Linked DNA regions of Drosophila melanogaster. The protein of the gene in region 2 interacts with the protein of the main gene of each other region in a pairwise test. Each region holds a gene or a part of one and is shown on either strand. Other genes may lie near its edges.

Region 1 (4,595 bases), on a different chromosome or scaffold from region 2:
TTCTGGACTACCATATCCACACTGCACCAGCCATTAACCATTAACCACTACCCACTGCCACCATTAGCATTATCCATACCTGTCTGCAGAAGAGCGAGGAAAACCAGTGATGACGCTGCTGGCGACATGTTCGTCATGCCGATTGGCATTTCCCGTCCACTCGGCGGCGCTGGCTATGGAAAATCACTTGGGAGCACCCCTGCGGCGAGTCCCCTCCCTTACCATTAAATCGCAATCCAAACCGAGCGACAAACAAAATTATAACGAACAAAAAACAAACACAAAGGGGTATCTTGCTTTTTGCCAACGGATACACCCACTTTCATGGACTATTCTCTACGTTGAACACGGTTAATTGCTTTCGTTTGGGTTACGGAGCACTGGACTCCGTGATTGCGTCGAATTCGCTGCGGTGATTCTATTATTGCGTTTTTAATTTGTTCTATAATTTTTGCAGCCTGCAGTGAATGAGTGGGTAACAGTGTGACCAGGTGGCAAGCACAAGACAAGTAAAATAAGGCCGTACTACACTTACGTCCTACGAAAAGCCCGCCAATCTTGAAATTCAAATTACCATGTTTTTGTATTTAAAAAGCGGAGCTTAAAAGAAATTCAAGGAAAATATAAACTTAATATGTATTGATACATATCAATCAGTGACTTCTAAGGAAACCAGGATAATCTTAGATAAAATGTTATTTTGTTGTCTTTATCCAGCGGTGCCTTCAATACACACTTAAAAACACATTATATCGACAAAAGTTTACAATTTTTTGAATACAAGTTTCCGGCAAACAGCTCTTTTCTACTTTGTTAAAATACTAAGTTCGATTTATTCGTTAGTTGTAAATACATAATCATTATATGCCTGCGTACATATGCGTGTAGTTGTGTATATGTTAATATTTGAAGTAAACTTAATAGTACAAATGAAAGACAACGAGATGAGAAAGCAATAATTACTTTGGGATAAGCGAACCGCACAGAATTCTCAATACATTGTGAGGCGGCGGCGCCGGATTCTACTTCTTCTTGCTCTTGCCGAGGGTGAGCGTGTGGTGGGCGGTGGCCAACTGCTGCTTGCGCCGCTGGAAGTCAAGGTAGTCCTCCTCGAGCGCCTTGCGCGACTCTTCCAGCTTGCGCTTCTCCTCGGCGTGATCCCGCTTTAGCTTCTCGAACTTGGCGTGCAGGTCCTTCTCGCTCTCCTTCAGCTCGGCCTCCTTCTCCTTAACGCGCTGCACGAACATCTGACGAACCTCCTCCTCCTTGGACTGCAGCTCGGCCAAATGGTTGGAGCGCTTTGCCTCGAACGTCTGCTGGAACGAGATGGGCTTGTTGTCGCTGTCCACATCGCTGAAGCCCATTTGCTCCAGCCTCTTCTGGCGATACAGCTCGTAGTGGCGCGTGTGTGTCTTTTCGCGCATATCCTCCATGTTGGTGCGAATGAGCATCTCGCGCAGCTTCACAAAGTCGCAGTGCGTCTCGTTCTCCACCTGCACCGTGCCCCAGGGGTACTGGCGAGCGCGGATGAGCTTGTTGCCCACCTTAATAAACTCCGTGCTGCCCACCACGGCGAAGGGAATGTGCGAGTTCATGCTGGTGTTGGTCTCGGCCACCGTCTCATCGTCGGTGGGGAACTGGTAGATGTGCACTCCATTGGCGTTTAGCTCCTGAATGATCTTCGCCTTGAAGCGCTGTAGCTCAACCTTGGAAATGGTATCCGCCTTGGCAATCACCGGAATTATGTTCACCTTGCTGTCCAGCTTCTTCATGCACACCAGGTCCAGCGATTTGAGGCCGTGCCCAGTGGGGCAAATAAAGTAGAGGCAGATGTGGATGCGGCTGTCGTGGCATGTCACCAGCGATCGCTTGATCTTCAGCTCCTCCTGCAGATAGTTCTCGAACTGTGCGTCGATGTAGTCCACCACCGCCTTGAACGAGTCGTCCTTGTTGATCTGATCGCCGTAGCCAACCGTGTCGCAGATGGTGAGCTTGAGTCGCACATTGCTCTCCTGCAGCTCGTAGGTGTGTGCCTTCAACTTGACGCTCGGCAAAGTGTGGGGACTCGGCGTGGACTCGAAGCTGGTGTTGAACAGCGTGTCCATCAGCGTCGACTTGCCCAGTCCGGTTTCGCCTGCGGAGCGTAAAGATTTCGAAATGCGGGTCAGATTTGTGCCAGATTTGGGGAACCTTAGCCTAAGTGAGCTCAATTGGCCATAGAAGCACTGCGGCATTGGTGTCAGGGTGAAATTGTAGAAAGTGGCGGAGGCAATCGATTGCCGGCCACTTTGCATACTAATCGTATCTGGGCGTCTGGTTATTTCAATTGTTTACCCGCTTTTATGTACCTAAGTGATTCACTTTATCTGAGCAATGCACTCCAACATGAGACACTTGAGTACATAGCACAGCGGTGTTCAAAACAATAGCATCTTTATTTCAAGATGTGCTGTGCAATAGTCTTTGCTTTCAATAAATAATTGTATTTCTAATATGATTTTACTGATTTTACTCGTATTAAAGTTTAACAAATAAAAAGCACACACCTCGGTTTTTATTTCATTCTCTCTGCATCGAGCTACCACTGTATGTCCAATTTCTAATTGGTGTGCAAACAAAGCCATCTTTGAGTTAAGAAGCAACAAAAGTTTGAAACCTTCTCCAAGTGACTCCTTTATGGAATATAAAAAATCAGTGCTATTGCTTTGGTCACCACTGTTTTGTATGCAAGCAAAACTTCGGTTGATTCACTGTGCCGCATACACACGCACACACGCAAAGTTCACCCGCATATACACACCTATACACATGACGTTGAAGACGAATCCATTCTGGACACTCTTGTTGACCAGTTGGTCAGGCAAGCTGTCGAATCCCACGTGACCGGACTGCTTCAGGGTGCGGAGGTGCACCTCCTTCTTGTCGACGAAATCCACCTCAACGGACATTTTCCAATAGTCAAGTCAAATAATCCAATAATCCGGGCGCAGAGTTTGGATCAAAGGCGTCGCCAGCGAATATGCAAGTGTGGCCAGATACGCGGAGCCCAAAATACCAGCGGCTCAAAGAAGTGTGTGGATATAGATGAACAAGAAAATTATAACTTAACAAAGAATTAAAAAACAATTATTTAATGAATTACATGTGCCATAATGGCAAATAGTGAAACGAAATTGATAATCAAACAGTGAAATGCACTTCATGGATTAAGATTTTAGTACACATCATTTAGCGTTTCAGTTTTTAATAACTAATAATAAAATGTCCCATTCATAGATATTTATGCATAAGTTATTAATTAAATGTAAATAGTTTAAAAAATTAAATGTCTTAACTGTTTCCGCCATCTGGCATCTCTGGTTGCACACAGAAGCGATCTGGCAGGTCCGCATTGCTGATGTGTCTACAGCTGTAAAAACTTGCATGTTAAACGGAAAGTCGAAAGTTTAAGTCAGTGAATAAAATATATATTACCACCCACTAACGTGCTGAGCAAACAGGATGTCAAAGGACGCTAATCCCAAGGAGGCGCTCATAAAGGCGGCTTACGCTGATGTGAATAAGTTCGGCAATAACCAGGAGTTTGACAAGGCTGTCAAGGCAGTGAATCGCAGTAAGTTTTTCAGATTACCGAGGTTATAATCCAGAAGATGACTCCCTATGATCTCTCATAGTCCTAGGCGTAGCGCCCGACGATCCCACCGCCCTGCACTGCAAGGTAGTCTGCCTGGTGCAGCTTTCCAAGTTCGAGGAGGCCTACAAGTTTATTGAGAAAAATCGACTGTCCTCGCTTTTCTTTGAGAAGGCCTACTGCGAGTACCAACTTAACAAGCAGCAGCAAGCGCTTAAGACCATAGACGATGCGGGTCTGCAGCCCCTGCCTCCGAACCTTAAGGAGCTCCGAACCCAGGTCCTGTACCGCTTGGAGCGCTACGATGAGTGCCTAGACTCCTATCGCGACATCATTAAGAACACCAGTGACGAGTACGAGGAAGAGCGTCGGACCAATCTCAGCGCCGTGGCCGCCAACTTGGCTGTGGATCAGACCAAGGAGGTGCCCGAGGTGCCGGAAGACACCTACGAGCAGTACTTCAACAGCGCGTGCATCCAGGCTAATCGGCAGAAGTATGCTGAAGCCGAGCGCAAGTTGCGCACCAGCGAGAAGCTCTGTCTTGAGGATGAGTGTGCCTCCGAGGAGGAGATCATTGAAGAGGTAGACGTCATTCGCGTCCAACTGGCCTATGTCCTCCAACTGCAGGGCAAGACCAAGGAGGCGTCCAGCATCTACGCGGACTGCCTGCGTCATAAGCCAAAGGACGCAGCCCTGGTGGCCGTGGCAAGCAACAACTTGGTGGTGGTCAATAAGGACCAGAACGTCTTCGATTCCAAGAAGAAGATACGCGCTGCCCTAGCCGACGCCTGTGAGTCTAGGCTCACCTCGCGCCAGAAGCAGGTCATAGCCCTCAACAACTGTCTGCTAGCACTTTACACTAATGCCGGCGACCAAGTGCAACAGCTTAGCCAAAAGCTAGCTCAGACCTACCCGCAGGTGGAATTCGAGGCGCTGCTCATTCGCTGCACCCAGCTGGCCAAAG
Region 2 (5,025 bases):
AAGAAGTAATTTGAGGTAAGCAGGAAATACCAGGAAAGGCTTCGGAACCAGGGCAAGCCATGAATTCGATAAACCTGGTAGCCAATCGAGATGATCTCCTGGAAGCACTTCACCTGCACCAGTAACGTCTGCAAAGAGAAAGTAGGACAACGATTATTTGAAGACTCGTTTAAGCGAATTCCATTAAACCTACCGTGATCATCAAGGCCAGCGGTCCACCATAGATGATCAATGCGAAGCCGCAGATCATAATCCATGTGAAGATGCCGCGAATCACCCAGTTCTTCCATCTGTGGAATGCGCAAAAAATAATTGTTTGTAATTGTACATATTTACTTTTAATATTTGCTCGCCAACTGTAGACAGCTGTGGATATGGATTATTTTTGGAACGCACTCATACTCATTCTGTCGGATTTATAAAATTCGCACTTCAATAAAATATTTTTTGAATCATCAATTCCAAATCGACCTTTAGCTATTCATCATGATCTTTAAAGATCCCAACTACGCATATGGATTTGTTTCACATACCTATCCGGCAGATCCTTGAGGGCCGAGTCCAATATCTCGGGCGTTTTGTCGGTTCCCTGCGGCAGATTCTTGGCCAGTTCGTCGACGAACTTCTCCTCGGGAATCTTCTCTTCCTCGGAGTCCACCTGGCAGGAGGAGGAGCAAGGGAAAGGGAAAATTCACTTATTGATTGCATTGGCTGGGACTGCAAAGTAGGTTTCCTATCAGATTCGATACGACCGGAGTGCAGGGTTTAAATACTTTCTATTGGACGACGCCGAGCAAAGTCCATGATACGTGTATGTATGTGCCTATATACCCATAATCAGAATCACTCGTTTATCCAATACACAGGCACATAAAATAGAGAGGGGAACCAAGTGGGGAGAAAAATTGCGGGTTTTTTTGGGTGGCGTGTTTTGTTGCCAAATAGCTTGGTTGATAAGGAGGCATTATCACCCAGCAATAACAAAAAAAGTCCAAGCCAGAAAGGGAGTCTGGTCATGGTAATGGTTTCGGCTCTGGGTTCTTGGCCCAGTGCTTCCCTAATTGGCGTAGTCCATCTAATTGGATTTGCTGGTCATAATGGCGCTATATTGCAACACAGCAGGTGGGTGGTTGGGTGGCAGGCAGGCTGGCTGGCTAGTGGTGTGTTTTGTGTTTGTTATTGGATTTTCTCCAGGAGAGAGCTCTCTCTTCTTTCTCCCACCTGCTTGTGCGTCAGAGAATAACAAAAACACATAGCCACACACATTTGTTGGTATACACACATTGGCTTTTCTATGCTCCAAGAATTATGCAAATTGGTGTCCGGAACAGCTGCCGCTCGGCTGCTCCACATACAAGTCATTGCTACTTACATGGTCCGAGGAGTCGGCGGCGGAGTTGCGCTTATTGGCTGCGTCAGATCCGGAGATGGCCGTGTCCTCCAGTGGCTCATCCTCGCCCTTCCTGCGTCGCACTTCGGCCATTATTCGATGTTCGCCAGATCTATTCACAATGTATTGATTCCTATTGATTCCGCTTGAGCAGTTCTCGTCCGTGTTCCGCTCTCCGCGTTTGCCGTTTGCCGTGACCCGTGCTGCGTGATCCGTATGTCGACTTCGTCCGAATTAAAATGCTTTTCTCTATTTCTGATTAGCCCAGCATGCAGTGTGCCCAGCTTGCGCAAAGTGGGCTGGTGGAGCAAAAGTGTTGGCAAGTATGCTCAATTGCTGTTAGGTTTTACAAGTTGACTTTTCGGACAGAAAATGTTTGATGTCTTTTAAAAGAACTTTCTTTTTCTGTGCAATTAACGGTGACTTTTGTCGTAATATGTAAAATAAAATATATTAATAATACTAGAAAAGTTAATTTAAGTGATAATAAGAGTCACCCATATCAGCCATCCCTGGTAGAGAATATCCGTAGCTTTATACGTTTCCCAACACCTGCACCGGCGGCGTCACTTTTCTCGGCTTTTCCGTATCGCAATTTTGCAATTTTCTCGCCAAAAATAAGAAAAAGGAAAACGTAAATTCAGAAAATGGCAGCAGCTATCAATGGTGTTTTCCCACCCACATTGCAGGAGCTGGTAAAGAAGTCCAAGGTGCTGGTCGTGGGCGCCGGCGGAATCGGCTGCGAGGTGCTCAAAAACCTTGTGCTTAGCGGCTTTACAGACATCGAAATTGTAAGTTTTTTCGAAAAAAGTATTCCATATTATTAATTTATAAACGTTACCCAGATCGATCTGGACACAATTGATCTTAGCAACTTGAACCGACAGTTCCTATTCCATCGCGAGCACGTTGGAAAATCTAAGGCACGGGTGGCTAGGGAAAGCGCACTGAGCTTCAATCCGGACGCTAAGATAACCGCTTACCACGACAGTGTAACATCGTAAGTTGGGATAGCTTTGCCTTTACATCTTGCTAACAACACATACCTTTTAGTACTGATTATGGCGTCAACTTCTTTAAGAAGTTCGATTTGGTGCTCAGCGCCTTGGACAACAGGGCCGCCAGGAATCATGTAAATCGCATGTGCCTCAATGCGGATGTCCCGCTGATCGAGAGCGGCACCGCCGGCTACAATGGCCAGGTGGAACTGATCAAGCGTGGACTCACCCAGTGCTACGAGTGCACTCCAAAAGACAAACAGCGAAGCTTCCCGGGCTGCACCATACGCAATACGCCCTCCGAACCGATTCACTGCATTGTCTGGGCCAAGCATCTCTTTAAGTGAGTATACCTAATAATTAGTCTAAATTGCAGCAAATCTATTGATTTATTTGCAGTCAACTGTTTGGTGAGTCCTTGGAAGATGAGGATATTTCTCCTGATGCTGCTGATCCCGATGCAAAAGAAAAAGACGGCGGCGATGGAAATGGCGAGCCCAAAGGCGATGGGAAGGAAAAAGGCGAAGAGTCAAAAGAGGAAAAGGAGGCCAAGGAGGATACTGCCAACGGCAACATAATGCGCATTAATACTCGCCAATGGGCCAAGGACTGCAACTATGATGCGGGCAAGCTGTTCAACAAGTTCTTTAACGAGGACATTACCTATTTGTTGCGTATGTCGAATTTGTGGAAGACCCGCAAGGCACCCGTGCCCGTGCAGTGGGATACCCTGCTGCCCGAAGGATCCTCCGGTGATCAGAAGGATGTGGCCAAGCAGCATCACAAGGTGTGGTCCATCGAGGAGTGCGCTCAGGTCTTTGCCAATTCATTAAAAGAGTTGAGCGCTAACTTCCTGAAACTCGAAGGCGACGATACTCTGGCTTGGGACAAGGACGACCAGCCAGCCATGGATTTCGTGGCGGCCTGCGCCAACGTGCGATCCCACATTTTCGACATTGAGCGAAAGTCAAGGTTCGAGATTAAGTCAATGGCGGGAAACATTATTCCTGCTATTGCCACCACAAATGCGATTACGGCGGGAATTTCCGTGATGCGGGCTTTCAAAGTGCTGGAGGCCAAGTGGGAGCAGTGCAAGGCCGTCTATGCCCGACTTAGACCAAATGCACGAAATCACTTCCTTGTACCGGACGCTTCTCTTCCTGGCCCCAATCCCAATTGCCATGTATGCGCCAGCGATCCGGCCATTACTCTCAAGATCGATACGAAGCGCATGCGTATAAAGGAGCTGCGTGACGAGGTCCTGGTTAAGACGCTCAACATGTTGAATCCGGATGTGACTGTGCAGAGCAATGGCTCCATTTTAATCTCCTCAGAGGAGGGCGAGACCGAATGCAATGACGGCAAGCTCCTAAGCGAATTAAACATTGTGGATGGTGTGATCCTCAAGTGCGACGACTTCTTCCAGAACTACGAGTTGAGTATTATCATTTCCCACTTCGATGCGGAGCGCGATGAAAACTTGTTCGAAGTCGTAGCAGATGCCTCACAGCTGAAGCCAAAGGATGAGGATCAGAAGGAGGCCGTGAAAGACAAGGAGGATGAACCGAAATCGGCTAAGAAGCGTTCTACCAACGGGGAAGGAGACTCAAAGGACGATGGACCCTCCACTTCGAAGCGCAGCCGGCCCAACGAAGTGGTTGAGGAAGATGACGATGACTGTCTGGTAATCGAGGAAGACGAAGACCAAGCAGATGTTGTTGTCGTGGCCACAGACAAGCTCTCTGTGCAGAGTCCCCCAAAATCGGGCTCCAAGCGCAAGCCATGTGAAGTAATCGAGGATGAGGATATCACCGAGATTTTGGAGTCGTCTGACGACGAACCCGCGGGACCAACCAAGTGCAAACGTTCCCGCCTGGACGATTCGAACCCCGTGGCAGTCATCAGTATCGATTAATAAAAAAAAGAAGTTTTTATTCGAATAAGTTCTCAACTGCGCACTAAATTATGCTCTTGATTCCCTGTAATTTCATTCTGATTTAAAATAAAAACACATTTTTGTGGATGATAAAATTTTTAAATTTTTGTGCTTTGAACGGGTTTGGTTTTGCTCTACTCGATTAAATTCAAATAATCCAGTGCGAGAAATGTAATTTTATTAAATAAAAGAAATATAAAATAACATTTAAAATTAGTCAAATTTTTAATTCGATAACTTTTTAACGCCAACCAGTGCTGCGAAGCACTGGAAGTCATTGTGCCTGTTATCGGTTTCTGACCAGTTCAATCCAAAACAGAAAAAGGTGAGCTGTTCTACAAATTTTCATTGTAAATCTCAATGAAAATGCAAATTTCAGATGTCCCTGGCTAGTAGAATACTGCAACAAGGTTCCCGCTTGTGGAATGGTCTCAGTGCCGCGCGTGGTTTCCACCTTCTCACCCGGCCGGCGGCTCCTGCAATTGTATCAATTCAAAGCTCGCAACTTGTGGCCGCCACAACTGGAATCTGTCAGACGTCGGGTCTGCTGACGCCTGGCTCCACTTTGGTCCAGCAGGTGGCGGGATTCAAGGTCAAGGGACGCCTGAAGCGACGCTGCAAGGACTGCTACATCGTGGTGCGCCAGGAGCGCGGTTATGTCATCTGCCCCACGCATCCACGCCACAAGCAGATGTCGATGA
Region 3 (4,852 bases), on a different chromosome or scaffold from region 2:
AATATATGACACTTAAAAATTTTGTAATTGTTATTGCACAATATACATACATCTTACAAATTACTCTTGATATCTACAAGAAAGTTTAAAACATACCTAAATACTTACGAGTTATGATAAATGCTTTTTTTTTAATTTTAAAAAAGTGTTTCACATTCTATATATCGTCCCTCCTAGTCCGAAAAATGGGTTTAGTAAAACATTTCTGAAGGTCTCATCCAAATAGTATATTTAATTCGCGTACATAGCGCGTGTTTATATGATTTAATGAAAAAGTATAATTTGCAACAAGTAATTTCCAAGACCCTGAAATATCCTTGCTAAAAGGGGTGGGGCGTTTTACCATTAAGCTCATCAAAAAAAGCTTCAACGCATGTAACCTGCAAAGGATACATACCTACATATATATGTACGTATATATATAACTGCTTCCCAGATACATTCTCATAATCAGGATTTTCTTTTTTAAGAAATTAACCAAAAACACCTGTCGCTTTTTTTAATTGATTGAAATATGTCAATGAGAGTTAAATATATCTGGTTTAAAACAAAGATAATAAAGTTTTGATCACAAATTTTAAACTTTTCGTAACATTTGACTTGACAATATTATATTATAAGTATGTTATTTCAAAATTGCGAGGGTGCAATTAAGGGTCTACATATACCTTTTCCAGGGAAACACTTCTTTTTCATGGTGATTGGGTCTAGTTTTAAAAAAACACGTACAACAAACTAAAAACTAACAGTACCGCTGTTACCGGATATGGCAAAAAACAAACCTCACGGAGAGGTATAAAACAAGAGAGAACGTGACAGTAGTTCATCGACTATTTAACAACCCGACAGAAATGTGCAAAATAAAAGAATAAATAAAAATAATGAAACAAAAAAACAAAACACTTTGTAAATGTGTGGGCAAAATCGAAATAAAAGATTTCAAGACTGAAAGAAGCAAATTATTTTTCAAAAAAATTGGAGTTACAGTTTTAGGCGGATTAAATGTCTGGTTCTCAAGAAAACAAATTTGCATGCTTTATCCCATGCCTGTCGTCCGTATCAACGCTGTTACCGCTGAAACTATAATAACTGGAAAGTAAAACGAAAAAATAATTTCCATTTTTTATTCCTTTACTCAATACGTAATATAGGTTAATAGTAATGATTGTTGCTGCTCTTGATCAGCTGGCTATCACACTAGCTTCGTTGAAAAGTATGTAACTTGCAGAACGACGCGTTTCCGAGCGTTTAAACTATATATAGTCTTCACCAGGATCAATAGCCGAGTCGAATTTTCATGTCCGTCTATCTGTATGAACTCCACGATCTCAGGAACTATAAAAGCTAGAAAGTTAAGATTGTGCCATGCCCTTTTTAAGTTTTCGTTTATTTTTTTTCAAAAAATTGTTGAAATTGTTTTGCCAATTTTAATCGGTACGCCAGAAAAATGTTTAATATTCTCGTTCATACTTCCACTAGCTGAGTAACAATTATCTGATAGTCGAAAAGCTTTACTATAGCGTTTTCTCTTGTTTTAATTCTGCAATGGATTCGTATTTTTTCAGGGCCATAGTTTAATTTGATATTGAAAACGCCACTGAGTGGTTGATATGCATATCGATGTAAGGCCCGTTTACACTGCACTAACCGCGGAGTTATGGTTTTACATATGTAGATACCTTTGCTATTTTGATGTGCATGGGGAACAGTTAAGTGTAGCTTTGGTAAGGAGTTGACCCCTATGTTTAATAATCGAGTTTATTACATTTTTCGTCTATCGAATGTCATGTCATCTCTAGGCAACAACAAGGTATCAGATTCAACGTTTGAGATAGGATAATACATTTTCAGACATTTTTCAATTTGTGCCCCCGCACATGTTGTTTCTTGCGAAGTATGGTGTTTTTTCGTATGATTTCATGATCACATGAAAAAACTTCAACCACCAAAATCTTCAAAATGGAGGTCGAGTTTTCTAGTTTAAGCAACGTGCTTTAAGAGAACTCACTTGAATTACCAACTCAATAAGAAACCTGCGGCTGTTTAAAATAACATAACCCTTATATTATTACAAACCATTTAAAATTTGAAGAACTATATGTAGATTGCTGGTCTGTTTTGCATCGACTCCACTGAGTAATATAGAATTTTAAAATTGGAATAGCGAGACATTCTTTTAATTTTACCGATATGTGTTTCTATGAAATAAGTTACCTAATCTGTGCTCTGAATACTTCTGAATTACATTGGCGAGCTTTACTTTACGAGCTTCATGCCCGATCTTATACAGAGAAGAATGCAAGTTTATACTATGATGGCCGGGGGATTCTCAAATACATGCAGTACCCCTTTGGATACCATAGAACCAACGCTGTCTGAAACTTTTGAACCAGCTAGTGATTACTTTATAACAAAATAATATTTAGAGAAGGCCCATGGTACCTAAATGGTACAACAATGTATGTATGTTTGTACGTTGTAAGCAATTTTTTGTATAATTTTTGTAAAACTGATTTATTATCTTATATTTAAAAATCGTTTAGAAAACAAGAAATAAAACTCCTGAAAAGTGAAATCTGTAGAGCAGTTGAAGATCTTTAGTCGCAATAGATTTTCTTAAGTGTGCCATCGCGATGGCTGCACCAGCAGCCTGTACGCGTTTTTCGGACAATTACGACATCAAAGAAGAGTTGGGAAAGTAAGTTTAACAAACTCAAGGTTAATAAATTTATTATAATAACCCGTCTATTAACATTTCAGAGGAGCATTCTCAATTGTGAAAAGATGTGTCCAAAAGTCAACTGGCTTTGAATTTGCTGCAAAAATTATCAATACAAAAAAATTAACTGCCAGAGGTAAGGCTTTCTGTGTTCTATGTAGGTTATAAATCACATATGTACGCATTTATGCTATGCACACGCATGTAGGGAAACTAAGTGCTGTTTTTAGGTAATTCGTCGAGTACAGTAAAAGGGTATACTAGATCCTTGATCCTTGGAAAGTATGTATATTCTTGATCAGGATCAATAGCCGAGTCCGTCTCTCCGTATGGTCGTCGAGATCTCAGAAACTATACAAGCTAGAAGGCATACAGATTTTAGAAACAAATACGCAGCGCAAGTTTGTTGACCCATGTTGCCACATGCGCCACGCCCTCACTTTTGAAAAATGTGTTGATATTTTTTCACATTTGTATTGGTCTTGTAAATTTCTATCGATTTGCTCAAAAAAAAGTTTGCCACGCCCATTCTAACGCCCTTTAACTTCTATCGATTTGCTTAAAAGCCGCCAACCGGTCACGTCCACACTTTGGACCAATTTTTAAACTTTTTTCTTATTTTATTCCCCAATATCTATCGTTATCCTAGAAAAATGATGAAATTTCGCGTTCCCATTCACACTAGCTGAGTAACTGGTATCTGATGCCGTTTTTTCAACGGCGATATGGCATATCGTAAGAAATCAGTAGTAAACATTGACTGTCAAAAAGTTTTCCTGTAAAATGTACTTTCTTTTTGCTAAGTACGCTTTTGGAAGGGACCATTCTTTTTGTGTAATATCTTCGTCGTCCCTATCTATTTGCCACACAAGTATCAAATAGTTCTACAGTAATTAAGTTGTATTTCTTGGTGTTGTGCTATTTAGTAATTAATAAATTTTTACTGCCAAGACGTGGCCAAAATAATTTTGGAATAGCAGTATTGGCAAAGTGTGTAATTTACAAAAAATATATTAAATAACTTTTAAGAAGTTTGAGCATGACAGCTGGGACAAATTTTGGGCTTAGAGAGAACCATTTGCTTGCTCGCCAAAAACCTCTTATTAACATATTTGTACACATGCATGTATGCATATAAGAGATGCTTATAATATATATATATATATATTTTTTTTTTTTGCTTTTAGACTTTCAAAAACTGGAACGTGAAGCAAGGATCTGCAGAAAGTTACACCATCCCAACATAGGTATGCAACGTGTATATAAATATAATTTACTTACTTATTCTTTAAAGATACGTTTTTCTGAAGATGTATGATCTACATAAAAGTAGACGAACATGGCCTAATATCACTTTGAACATCTACTATACATAATTTTTATATGTACATTCAATCACGGCTTAGACCCCAGTAGTGTTGATGACTTGCAATGTGATCCTGATAAAGGATGGTTTGACGTCCACGGTAACACAACGAAGAAAAAAATAAAATAGAGTTTAGTAGATATATCAATCCGCATCTGCAAGCAACATTCCATTCCTCGCCCTCCCTACTCTCCAATAACAAATCTTCCAAGTAATTTATAATTATAATAATTATAAAAACTTGCAGAACAGCAAAAACCGAACTCATGCAATAGACTTTCCTCTCACTAAAAGCGTAACCTAACAAAACAGTTATTTACACGGACAGTTCAAATCTAGAAACATCACTTCCTCCAGCGTCACCGACAAAATATATAATATGTTCAAAATGTATTTTATAAACATATATTTTTATAGCCTTTAAGGCTTATAATCATTGTCATCCGTAAAAAAAAAACATTAAATACAAATGTATACAACTAATAAATTGTTAATATGTACAATTTCAGTGCGGCTACATGACAGTATACAGGAGGAGAACTATCACTACCTTGTTTTTGACCTGTAAGCATTAACCTGCATAGACTCCTTACCAAATATTTAAATTGCCTATCCCCAAAAGTGTTTTAAAAATATGAGTTTCTAACAAATGCTTGTAAATGTGGCAATGACTCGACTATTGTTTATTGAGATTCATACTTCATCCTTTTCCCTCCGTTCGTTCATACTATAATATGAATATGAATCAAATTTTAAAGCCGCAATAT

Evidence for each region.
Region 1: the proteins of Uba2 (region 2) and Septin2 interact in a two-hybrid assay, tested with the Drosophila melanogaster proteins (one study listed by BioGRID).
Region 3: the proteins of Uba2 (region 2) and CaMKII interact in a two-hybrid assay, tested with the Drosophila melanogaster proteins (one study listed by BioGRID).

Annotation. Positions count from the first base shown.
Region 1 is NT_033777.3:20,585,324-20,589,918, forward strand, and holds Septin2 (septin 2), read right to left. Parts: upstream 3,034-4,595; 5' UTR 2,949-3,033; coding exon 2,801-2,948; exon of another isoform or gene 2,680-2,800; intron 2,673-2,679; exon of another isoform or gene 2,547-2,672; intron 2,135-2,546; coding exon 1,023-2,134; 3' UTR 806-1,022; downstream 1-805. Other genes in the region: CG16953 (uncharacterized protein), read right to left, coding at 80-149; Srp72 (signal recognition particle 72), read left to right, coding at 3,502-3,613, 3,675-4,595. UniProt on the Drosophila melanogaster protein: Involved in cytokinesis.
Region 2 is NT_037436.4:8,124,717-8,129,741, reverse strand, and holds Uba2 (Ubiquitin-like activating enzyme 2), read left to right. Parts: upstream 1-1,923; 5' UTR 1,924-2,037; coding exon 2,038-2,181; intron 2,182-2,235; coding exon 2,236-2,390; intron 2,391-2,443; coding exon 2,444-2,731; intron 2,732-2,787; coding exon 2,788-4,303; 3' UTR 4,304-4,415; downstream 4,416-5,025. Other genes in the region: Cds (CDP-diacylglycerol synthase), read right to left, coding at 1-128, 194-290, 534-658, 1,373-1,483; mRpL36 (mitochondrial ribosomal protein L36), read left to right, coding at 4,704-5,025.
Region 3 is NC_004353.4:1,048,301-1,053,152, reverse strand, and holds the start of CaMKII (Calcium/calmodulin-dependent protein kinase II), read left to right. Parts: upstream 1-1,774; 5' UTR 1,775-1,810; exon of another isoform or gene 1,811-2,459; intron 2,460-2,543; 5' UTR 2,544-2,633; coding exon 2,634-2,698; intron 2,699-2,760; coding exon 2,761-2,855; intron 2,856-3,906; coding exon 3,907-3,966; intron 3,967-4,594; coding exon 4,595-4,649; intron 4,650-4,852. UniProt on the Drosophila melanogaster protein: A key regulator of plasticity in synaptic physiology and behavior, alterations in its activity produce pleiotrophic effects that involve synaptic transmission and development as well as various aspects of behavior. Directly modulates eag potassium channels.